Linked DNA regions of Drosophila melanogaster. The protein of the gene in region 2 interacts with the protein of the main gene of each other region in a pairwise test. Each region holds a gene or a part of one and is shown on either strand. Other genes may lie near its edges.

Region 1 (5,620 bases), on a different chromosome or scaffold from region 2:
GTTTCTATAACTATAAGTACGAACTTAAAAAACATGTACTAGATCATGATTTAGTTTAGTTTGCCGTGTGTAAATCGTATACTATGAAGTCAGTTTTGTTGCAGTGCACACATCCCATCCCTGCTGGAAAAACCCAACGGCACGAAACCATTTTCTCTGTTTGCAAGCCTCATGCCGATTGGCTGTTATAAAAAGTTAATAGCCGTTCAAGTCCCCCTTCCAAACCACTTGGAAACTGGTCCTGCTCCTGCGCAGTGAAAGTATATAGGAAACGGAGCACATAGGCGAAGCTACCATCCAACCGCACACCAGAACTGTGTAACCCATTCCCCGATCCCGTAGAGAATTTATTGCATGGGCCGCGACTGCCGTTGGCTTCTGTCCATCTATCTTTGGCTGTGCTTTTCCTGGGATTTTCCCCAATGCGATGGAATGGGTACTCAGACCACAGAGGACCTGCCCACAATGCCACCATTGGCAGTTACATTTTATGGCCAAAGTTCACCAGAACCCAACTCGTTCCCCAGCCCCACGCATTCTGGCGACCAAGTGGCGCCATTTTTGCCGCATTGTCATCGATGGGAGGATGAAGATGGGGATGGGCAACTGACAGGGATTCTAGTTTATGCTTGCGAGGACTTTTCAAGAAATAAACTTTTTCCTCTGTCGACATCAGCGAAAATAATATCGCATTCGGAAAAGTATAAAAATAAAATGAGGACGCAGATTAAAACTATCAAGTTGAACAGTTGGAGATAGATTTTTCTATAAATTGATTTTTATTTTCACTTTAAACATTTCTATCGAGACTGGAATGGACAACATATATAAAAACACACTTCACTTCAATTGTTTTATAATTTATCAGTATGTATATTAAGATTATTCAGTAGAAAACTTCCTTACATCGCACCAGTGACGATGCGAACCGAACAAAAACTTAGTGAGACAGTTCATCATAATTATTAAATTAATTCACTTTCTGGCGTAATAACAAAAATGCTGGCTAACTAGCTTTGTTGACCATTTGGCGCATGAAAATGGGAAAAAAGATTTATGTTGCCAATTCAGTTTCAAGAGCCGAGCCTGATGGATTCATCTCAACTCTAAAGTATACAAGATATTACAAAAATTTGCTACGTTTACGGAATTTTCGTACTTATATAGATTTTGCCATTTTTATTTTTATTTTTTTTTAGATAGATTTTCTTGTGCTTCTTATAAATGCCTGCACACATGATATGCAGAGTTGAGAATGGAGTGAAACTTTCGACTTGACTTGCTAAAACAAATATGAAACATCTTCTGTTGGCTATTACTAAGGGAAGTTTGTCTTGTGGCTTCTTCGACGGTTTCTTCGTTTTGTATTGCGTGGCATTGTCATGAGGCATACATCATTGATCAAATTTCTTGTTCTTGCTTTGATTAAGTAACGACTTGAGTTTGTATTCGTGACCTGACTTCTTAAACAGACTTCTATTTAAAAAACAAACAGTTACACATAATGGTAGAGCATGCTACGCTGAAGTCTTAAATCTTTCATTTTAACTAAATTTAGTTGCTGCCTAGTCAGGTGTGCGAATCTGTTTCCTCGTGATTTCTGTGGGTGTATGCTTGTGTGTTTGTTATTCGTTACGATCCCAATAAGTCGCGAATTCGCCTAATAGAACTTTTTCGCCTGTGCTTCGCTGCGGTTTCTGCAAGGAATAATAAGTTAGATTGTTTAGTTTCGAATCCACGCTTAAAGATTCCATGAACTCACTTGAAGACGTTGTAGATGAAGACTAGCAGCAGTTGCACAACAGTTACGCTTAGGAACAATGTGACTCCAACGCAATTGCCCGTGGGACAATTGGCCACCTGCGCTGCTCCCTGTGGCGCTGCCAATCTGCAAGGTAAGGGAATGCATATTGAGTATCAAGGAGGTACTTAAAAGATGACAATAAAGTATAATAGTCTAAAACTCATAAACATGTTCCTCTGAATCAAACTTGTTAAAACTCTAATTTCATAATGTGGAATACGAAAAATTAGTATAAATATGGCTGAAAAGGTTAAAATTAATTCGAGCTCAGAATAACTTCGATGACAACAGCTTTAGGAAACTTAAAATAGACTTTGAGCGTATTCCTCACCTTTGGCCCACGTGGGTGATGCCCTGCTTGACCTGATTCATGCCATCGCGCATCTCGGCGATGAGCGTTTGTACATCATAGCCGGTGGATTGGATTTGTGCTGTGGGCGCATGCTTCTGATTCGTTTGAATGTTATCAGTGCGCACATTGATATCGCCAACCAGTTGACGAATCTCGCGGATGGAACTGAGCAGCATGTTCTGATTAGTGAGCAGAAGATCTACATCGCTCCTGCTGACTGCGCCAACGGGCAGCTGTTGCTGTGGCACTCCGCCGGCGGCGGGCGGAGGCAGAGCCTGTCCAGCATTACGTGAGACCAGCGACAGCGTGGTCTCCTGGCGGCCAATAATCTCATCCACTTTGCGGGAAAGTTCGCGTAGGTGATCGGCAATTTGGCTCTGACCCTGCCAGATCTGACGCAGCTCACGCTGGTTCTCCGACTCGTAGAACTCCTCCCAGTCCTCCTCGTCTTTGTGCTGTGGGATTATACGAAAGTTGATTATCAAAACTAGCGATAAGACATCTTTATCAGCTGGCTGCGTGGCAATTACCTCGTCGGGATGGTCCTTCTTGTACTCCTGCTTCTGTTTCTCCAGTTTATCTTGGTATTCCTTGTACTCTTGCGTAAGCTTCTCCTGGTTTTCCACCTTGGGCTGCTCCTGAACTTGTCCAGCGGCATGCAACGACGTGGTCAGGAAATGGAACACATCGTGGTCATCGGCCAGACCGCCCGTGGCGGCGGAAATGCCAAAGTAGCCGTTCTTGGGCAGATTGACGCCATCCGCTCTCAGACACAGCTCGTAGTCATCGTTGTTGTTGGACATTCCGTTGTGGATCATGACGGTAAGCACGTTGTTGTAGTACTCGATTCGCGCCCGTGTAGGGAAGGGCTTGTTACGGAAATCCCTGAGGCAACCGCTCAGGAGCTGAGTGGTTCCATCTTCGGCATGGTCATACAGCTTGGTGCCATCATTGAGCACGGCACTGATGTAAGGATTGTTGTGCTTGTTGTCATTATCGAAGGAATCGAACATGATGGCCAGACCATTCCAGCGGTCCGAGGATCCGAACACAGGCCCATTGTAGTCACCCTTTTCCGTGGTGTACCAGAAGGCCAATCCATCGGCTCCGATCCTGCCACGTCCCGTCACCCGGAACACGATCTCCACGTCCCACCAGTCGAAGTTCGTCTGTGACTTTGTCCAGATGGCACCCTTCTGTGAGCGCAGCGATGGCGCCACGCGCACACTTTCCGAACTGGCGATGGCATCTGAAATGAGGAGCAACAAGTTGTGGCTATAGAAACACCCGAAACCGTGGTCAAAACGACATCCAAACAAAGTGCCTGCGTGTACACTTGGCCGCCTCGCGCCATCTCGCTCGCACCCATGGCCGCAGACCAGCAGCGAGTGGGCCAAAACAACTGACGTGGAGCTGCGTCTTCCACTCGTACTCACTTCCCCCGTACTCCCAAAACGGCACGGTGCCGTCTTTCTGTGCCAAATACGGCGGCTTGAACGAGTACTTGTACTCGAAGCGACGGTGCACGCCCACGGCTCCAGGACTCAGATTGCCGGTCGCCTCGGAGCTGGGATTCCACGCCAGGAAGCACAAAATGGCCAGGAATGTGGGCCGCATCTTTGCAATTATATGTTGACAACTAGTGGTGGGTGGGCGACGATGGTGCAAACTGATGATATCGATAACCAGCCGGCACCGATAGGCGGTGGTATCGCACTGGATGTTCTAAAAGCATTGTATAATTTAAAATCAAATATTATTTTATGTATTGTCTACCATTAACAATTAAGGTAATATAATATAAATTGATTAGAACATTTATTTAGGCCATCCTTCGTATATAAATGTTGAACTTAAATAAAACCAGCCATCCTATAACAATTAACTTCAGCTTAGATCACAATTTAAAATTCTATAAGATAAAAGTTTTTCCATGCATTCTAAGAAACAAGAACCAAGTGATCTAAAAAATATTCAGGCAGCGACAATACAATCGCTATCGATTTCGGTAGATTTTATATCGATATCGCAAATGCCCACCAAATTCAAAAGATCTTGTTATCACTTTATGATGTTGAGGTGGAAAAACATTTATTTTGAAAATTTAAAGTGTTTACGTCCCGTTAGAAAATAAACATAAATATAGCAAAATACGCGCCATTCGCATGTGCTTACATAGATACATGTTTATCAATACGTTATTGTAAAATTATTTCGTTAGTTGTTTCAATTGCCTTTTGCGTGATATCACCAAAGTAGTATTACATCCATATCTCCAAAATTCCTTTAGCACAGTTAGCACAGTGTGTGTATATATGTTTACATCTTTATTCTTTGTTTCTGATTTCCTACCGTTTGTAGTTTTCGTAGAGCTTACAGCTAGAATTATTATAGGTTTTAATGCCTCGGTAGCACATAGTGTGGGCTTCATAAAATATTGTTAGTTGCTCAGTTTACACAAGTGATAGCTTTGTGTGCAGATCGGTGTGTGGGGGATAGTCATTAGGGGCGATCGTGCCGCAAGTTTCGCCATTTTACAAATGTTAGTTACTTATTTTGAATCACAATCACTTTCGTGTTAGTTCTGTGCGCGATCAAAAGAAAAACTCAAATCGATTAAAACAAAATCAAAGTCTTTGTTTTAGCTTGATTTATTACAAAATTATAATTAAACGAAGGCGCTACAGTGTAGCGAAAATCTAAATTATGCATGATGGTGCAATATAATAATCTTTTCAATTTATTACAAATACGATAATAAATTAAGCTTAAATGGGTTTTGTGTACATTTCCCGAAAGAGGAAATATGCGTTCAAGTCGTTAAGTACTGTAGAAAATCATAACAGCGGTGGACATACCTTTATTTTGGGTTTAGAATGTTAAACTCGCATAAAGTAAACGTGCGCACTCTAGACTACAAAATACAAAAAGTATATGTATGTATACATATCCTACAATATATATGTATATTTATATATAATATATCGTAATTTTTAGGTTCTCTTTCGTGTATAAGATCAGTAATTAGAGGATTGTGGGATCCAGATCCAATCCATTTTTTGTTACTTCCTTTTCTCATTTGACAGCATCACGGCATGCTTTTCAAATGTTTTCATCTAAATTCAAGATCACTTTATAACCTAGCCAATTTCAAGACATCTTACATTAAATTGGGTGTGAAATGGATTCGAACGCAGTTCAATAGCAAAATTAGGAACGAAAATAAAACGAGTTTGATGAATTGCGTCGCTTGTGTGTGGGTGTGAGGTTGTGTGTTTCATAAACTGGATAACAAATGCGTTTGATAAGCGCCAACCGGCTGTGTCTGTGGTTCTGTTTTGTCTAACTCTGTGAACTAATAATGTAAACAACAATGTAATGAAATTATACAAAAAATAATAATTCAAGAGGTTCTATAGGCTTGGCGGAAAAAATGCAGTTAATACACAAGATTCGCTGCAATT
Region 2 (6,031 bases):
GTGTCCACGTCCTGTATTTGTGAAACTTTGTATTTTTATATTGGCCCACTGGCTGCTCTGCGTAGCTCTAGATATTATGTTTTGTGCGCTACATGCACCCTGGAAATTCCGAACCCACGCCCACGCCCTGCCCCCGAGTATATCGATCGATAGCGTTAATCTAATCAACCTGCTGTTTTCTATGTGTGTAGTTATCCCTTGTTTGTTTCCGTTGCCTGGTCTTCTGTTGATTCTTGGGTATTTTGCAATGTTCCACGTGAGACTCACACACCTCCTGAAGATTGATGGGGAAGCCAATTCTTCGTCTCCGCTCGCTCCCAGCATGGAATGCCTAATCACACACAAACACTCACACGGGATCGCAAAACTATAACTAAAATAGCAATACTTTATGTTTAAGTTAATGAATAAATTTGGTTCTACACATAATGAAAGCGAATCTATTGCAGTTTTATTTTTAACTGGTTACTGCAACTGAAGGGCGAATAAAAATCGAATGCATTTCATTATACCATAATGCTTATTTTCTTTATTTAACTTACGTGTGTAGAGGGGCGGATGTTAGGTTAGCGTTCTAAAAGTAAAAACCTATATTAATAATTAAAAACAAGGTCAAATGATTTCTGCAGCAAGTGCACCAAAATACCAGGACAAGAGTTACACAATTGTGACATACAATCAAACCCATTAAAATTAAACTAAATATCGAAAATAGACAAAAACGGGCTGACCTATTAATATAATCAAAGACTGACAAATAGAGCATTTTAAAAAACACGTCTAAATAAAAGGAACCCTATTCTATTCTAGCTGCCACTATCATCTATGACTTATAAACCTATAGCTAAAATACTATTGAAGCGAGCATATGTCTCGGTGAGGGCAGGTCGATCTTTTCCGTAGAAAAGAAACAGCTAGCTCCTTCATATCAAGTATAAGATCAAACGTTTCCAAAAAGCCATTGACTCAAGGGTAATCATTTCACCTTCTTATCTTAGGGAGGAATCACGGCCGTACATAAATGGGAATCTACCGTCTCTTCCGACCTTTCTTATAGCCCTTGCCATACCATCCTGCCTGGGTTCGCGCCAACTTCCGTGGAAAACTCGTGCTCAGCTGCTGTCTTCGCTTTGCCGTTTCCGCCGCTGCTATGTGTGCCAAGGATATATTCTCATCGTAGTCATCGTCGTCGTCGGAAGTTGGACAGCACTCGCAGACCACGAACCGACCGCTTCTGGCCCGTTTCTTGTGTTTGCGCTGACTGAGGTTCCAACGCCGGTAAAACTGGCACTCCAGCTCCGCATACCGATCAAAGCAGAAGAAACAACTGGCAGCGGATCTGTTCATCGCAAAGTTCGGCACCACCTGCGAGTTCCAAATATTGAGATCCGCTGGTGGTGGGATCAGGATGCTATGCAGACCAGAATACGCGTACTTGGCATCGTACCACGTGGGTAATTGGCGAAGCAGCTCCTCATCGTTGTTTTGCCTCAACAAATCCATCTGGGCCAGCTCGCTTTCCTCCTCCTCTTCGTTATCGTTCTCTGTGCTGGAATCACCATCGCCCTCGCTCTTTATCTGTATGCTGGACGACTGAGAGGCAGGTGGCAGGACCAATTTGGGCTCAACAAAGGGTGTGGACAGTGGTGCTCCAATGGGCACCAGCGGTGGCAGCTGAAGCGGCTTTAGTCTTGATTCAGTTGGGACCGCGGACAAACATTCCGCATGAGTTTTTTGTATGGCGACTAGTTTTGGCAGCTCTGGAAAACCATTGCTCGGCGTTTCCTCCGTCTCTTCTTTGAGCGAAAGTGGTTCTAGCTTTGGTAGCAGCTCCAAAAGTTTCAACTCCTGCTGAAAATTGGTGTCCGAGCACTCTAATTTCTCCAGCTTAACTTCAGTCTCTATTTTAATGGACGACTCCAGCGTGATTAAGTCCTTCTCTGTTTTAACCTCCCCATTTGTTTTCACATGCTCCACCTTAATTTCCTCGTCCTGGCCATTGAGCGTCTTGAATTTCTGTCGGAGCTCCAGGTTAGTCTTAACTCTTCGACCATTTTTGATGGGTGTGCGAATGCGGGGTCCTTTGCCGATGGGAAGATCACTGTAGTTAAAGCTACAGCTCTCGCTGGAGATAGTCGAGTCTTGCGTTTCCTCAGTGGTAGTGGTGAAGGCCTCCTCCTCGTCGGCATTCTTCAGCAATGGTTGTGTAAGCGTGTGCAGTTCCTCGGGCATCAGAAGCGAAGCATGTGCGAAAATCGGATCCTTCTCTTTCGTGTAAACGGGAACTGGAATGTGGAGTAGATGCATCAATTGGGCCATCACCTGATCGCATTTCCCATTGATCTTTATGCTAGCAATCGCATCCTTGGGCGTCCACTGCAAGTTGACCACACAGATCTTTGCTCGCTGGCGGGCAGGCCGGTCCATCTGCCAAAGCCAAGTGTACTTCTTGAGTACCTTGAGACTGGAGCCCAAGCAGAGAATCACATCCGCTCGCTGCGCATTGGCAGTGGCTCCCGCCCAGTTCAATGGCCACTTGACGTTCCCCCGCTCTCCGAAGTGCACAATGGTGTCGTACAAAGGCTCCGAGCAGCGATGGCATAGGCGGTGGGTCTTGTGGCAATAGCGGGCAGTCATCTCCGTGGTGTCGAACTGGCGCCAGTAAACGCTGTTCGGTCGACAGTTCTTGCACACCTCCACGTACATGTTTCCATGGATTTCGGACAACGAATTTCTCGGTAATCCGGATCGCAAGTGCAGGCCATCACAATTCTGGGAGACCACATGATGCAGCAATCTGCGGCGATGCAGCTCATAAAGTGCCATGTGCGTGTAGGTGGGATTCGCGCTGGATAGATCATGCTCGCCGATGTCCTGACCCTTTTGGAGCAGTGTCCATATTCCCTGGCTACCGCGATAGTCCGGAATCAGGGCTGCCGTGCTTATACCGGCTCCCGTGTAGCAAACTAGATGCTTAGCCTGCGAAATGATGTTGGCCAACTGCTCCACCTTCGCCTCGATCACGTGCGGCGCATCCTCGCGTTCCACAACCCGCTCCTTGTATATCTCTACCCGCTCCTTGCGCTTCTTGGTCGTCTTCACCATGTCCGGGTGTTTCTCCAAAAACTGTCGATCTTCCGTCGTGCGCATGGAGTCGCATTTTCGCAGTATCATCGAGACCTGGAACATTTTCATAGATTAGCATTGGCTTGATAGGCGTACATACATGGCTTAATATATAGACCGTGGTTTATTTTATAATAACTTAGGGGGTTTGATCTTTTGGACACTAAAATATAATCAAAGATTGGTATTTGACATGAACTTTGTAATTTATAAACAATCTAAATTGGAACAAGCTCTGCCAGCGTAAAAACACACACACAGTCGCACTAATTACCCTTCGCATGGCATCCTTGCGTCGTCGCTTCTCGTTATCCTTCTTGGCAGGATTCATCTTGGCCCGCGTTATGTAAGACTGCGCCACGTCCATCTCCTGCTTGGGCTCCATCTCAGTGTTCTGCTCCTGATCCTGGTCCTTTTCCTCACCCAGATCCTTCTCCATGATCCGGCACAATTGGCAATTATGCGGGGACAAAATAAAATGCGCCGCAGCCAGGAAGGGGAAATTGTGATGTGGAATCCTGCGCAGGATGTCCGCTTACATCGTATTCGCCATGCGGCTTCAGACCTCTGGTCATTGGTAATTTACAATCCAAATCCAGCGACGACTTTTGTTTTGTAAATGTTTCTTTTTTTTGGGAAAAAAAGGTAAACAACTATCGATGACTGCATCGATATGTTCGGTCTATCGATTTCGTAGGAATGACTCGCTTCCACTTAGCAGCGATTCTAAATTAATCGGACTGTTAAATGCTTTTAAATTTAATTTTTTAAGTATTTAGTAAAAAATTTATATAAATTTACAGATCCAGATGTAATTTAAAACGTGGCCAAAGTTCGGGCTATCCAGCCTAAATAAGGATAGACGCGAGTGTAGATTCCGGGTATTCCTGGTGACCCACAGGACAAACCGGCCGACGTGATTCCCACAACTACGTACATACAGGGATATTCCCGATGGTACATTAGCAAAGGTCCTCCTGAGTCGCCGTTACAGGTGTCCTGGGCCATCTCCGAACCAACACAGAGCTGGTTGTTTCCATCGAATCCTCGAGGGAACTCCTCCACCTGCCGGGTAAGCAGTTTCTTGCACACCTATAAGGAAATAATATATTTATTAATGTGGATTATCCATGGGGATTTATAATATCCCATGCCAATTTACTTACCCAATTTCCGTAGCGCTGCAACTTCACCTTCAGCAGCTGGGCGGATGGCTTCAGCGCCAGGCCAGTGCTTCCCCACCCAACGGCTATGAAGGAGTCGGAAGAGCGTTCATCCTGGAACGGCAGACAGGCTGGATGCTTATATAGGTCAAAGACCACGGCCTCCGTCAGTTTGACAAGACCTATATCATGGTAGAACTGCGGATCTTCGTAGCCCGGATGGGCTATATACCCTGCAACCATATAGTCTCTGGGCGCCGCATCCTCATCCAAGGAATCGAAGTCGAGTTCGCCCAATCGCACAACATTCACCTCTCCCCTATAAAAATGAGATATTTATTCCTAACTTGAGCAGGGAAAAACCTCTGCTTACCTTTCCGATTCCAGGCAGTGAGCTGCGGTTAAGACGAACCGCTCGCTGATCAGAACGCCACCACAAAACCAGTCGGCACGGCTGCTCGGATCTGGGCGACGCCCCAAGCGGGCCATATGCGGAAATTCCCTGGGCTGGGCCGGATGACCACCGACGATGAGCGGCGTGTAGCTCCTGCAGTTGTCTATGATCCGACTCTCAATCGAAGCTCCGGGCAACAGGAAACCGAACTCGATTCTTTCCTCGAAAACGCTCTTCTTGTATCTAGAGCAAGCTGAACATTGCGATTTTCAATTTGATAATCCAATATTGATCAAAAAGAACAGCTCAGATCAGTGGTCAACACGTTAATATATTATAATATATAACTAGATCTTTAAAGCCACTTGCAAGGCTACTTCTTTGTCCACTTACATCCCACAACATCCATATCCGGCTGCTGGCCAAAAACACATGCCAGCGAAACGATCAGCTGGGAGAACAGCCTCCATATCTTCATCTTCAGGTGGCGATCGGTGATCGACTGTGCGATCCGAACGGGTTTAGCTCCCAATTAGTTACCGATCAATTAGCTGCGGAAAGCCCAATGGAGGTGCGTCTAAAGCGGGTAAAAGCTAATGAAATCCCCGCTCTTTTAACAATTATTCCACAATAAAACGATTTTGTTTTTACTTCTTTATAAGTGGGTAAGCAAGGCTGATCTTACGTATCTTGTATCTTCTTACTGGGTAAAGGTTATTTAAATGCTTATATATATAAAATATATATTTGAAAAAAACTACTACTTCTGATAGAACGGTGATCTCGATAGACTTTTCTAATTCAAATCTCTAATTTAAATCTATTTTATGGCCAGTTGCTGCCTAATCCAGTCCAGGTAAAAGTACACCCTTATGTACATGCCCAGCCACCCAGTTTCCAGAAGAACAATCGTGCCGGATTGCCGAGGCAATCATCGTGTGGTTGCCTCGGCGTTTAGTGAATGACTAGAATCATAATTCATAATCGTTAGTACAATCTGCTCAGGATAATACATAAATTCCCGGAGAACTAGCGTTCATGTTCAAAAGTATTTTTATATTCATGGACTTTGCACTTAAATCAAATCATTTTCTAGAACACTGTATGTGAATAATACTCAATCAATTCAGCTTTATTTTCCATTTACTATTGTTTCCCATAATGCACTCAAAACTGAAGTTAGTTAAACTCCTTTTGATAAGTTATCCACAGAACTGTGGAGTCAAATTTTCGTATGTAAATATCAATTCTAATTTTTGGCCAGCTGCTGCTTAATCCAGTCCAGGTAGAAGTGAACCCGTGTGTACATCGCGGGAAGATCGGGTGTGTCGCAGGCCACTCCGATGGA

The links.
Region 1: the proteins of Sirt7 (region 2) and ergic53 interact in a two-hybrid assay, tested with the Drosophila melanogaster proteins (one large-scale study listed by BioGRID).

What each region holds. Positions count from the first base shown.
Region 1 is NT_037436.4:8,533,159-8,538,778, reverse strand, and holds ergic53 (ergic53), read right to left. Parts: upstream 3,803-5,620; 5' UTR 3,774-3,802; coding exon 3,593-3,773; intron 3,406-3,592; coding exon 2,687-3,405; intron 2,612-2,686; coding exon 2,136-2,611; intron 1,889-2,135; coding exon 1,763-1,888; intron 1,698-1,762; coding exon 1,661-1,697; 3' UTR 766-1,660; downstream 1-765.
Region 2 is NT_033777.3:29,053,678-29,059,708, reverse strand, and holds Sirt7 (sirtuin 7), read right to left. Parts: upstream 3,783-6,031; 5' UTR 3,566-3,782; coding exon 3,401-3,565; intron 3,181-3,400; coding exon 1,030-3,180; 3' UTR 505-1,029; downstream 1-504. Other genes in the region: CG11843 (uncharacterized protein), read right to left, coding at 3,943-4,218, 4,293-4,608, 4,663-4,936, 5,077-5,161; CG11842 (uncharacterized protein), read right to left, coding at 5,933-6,031.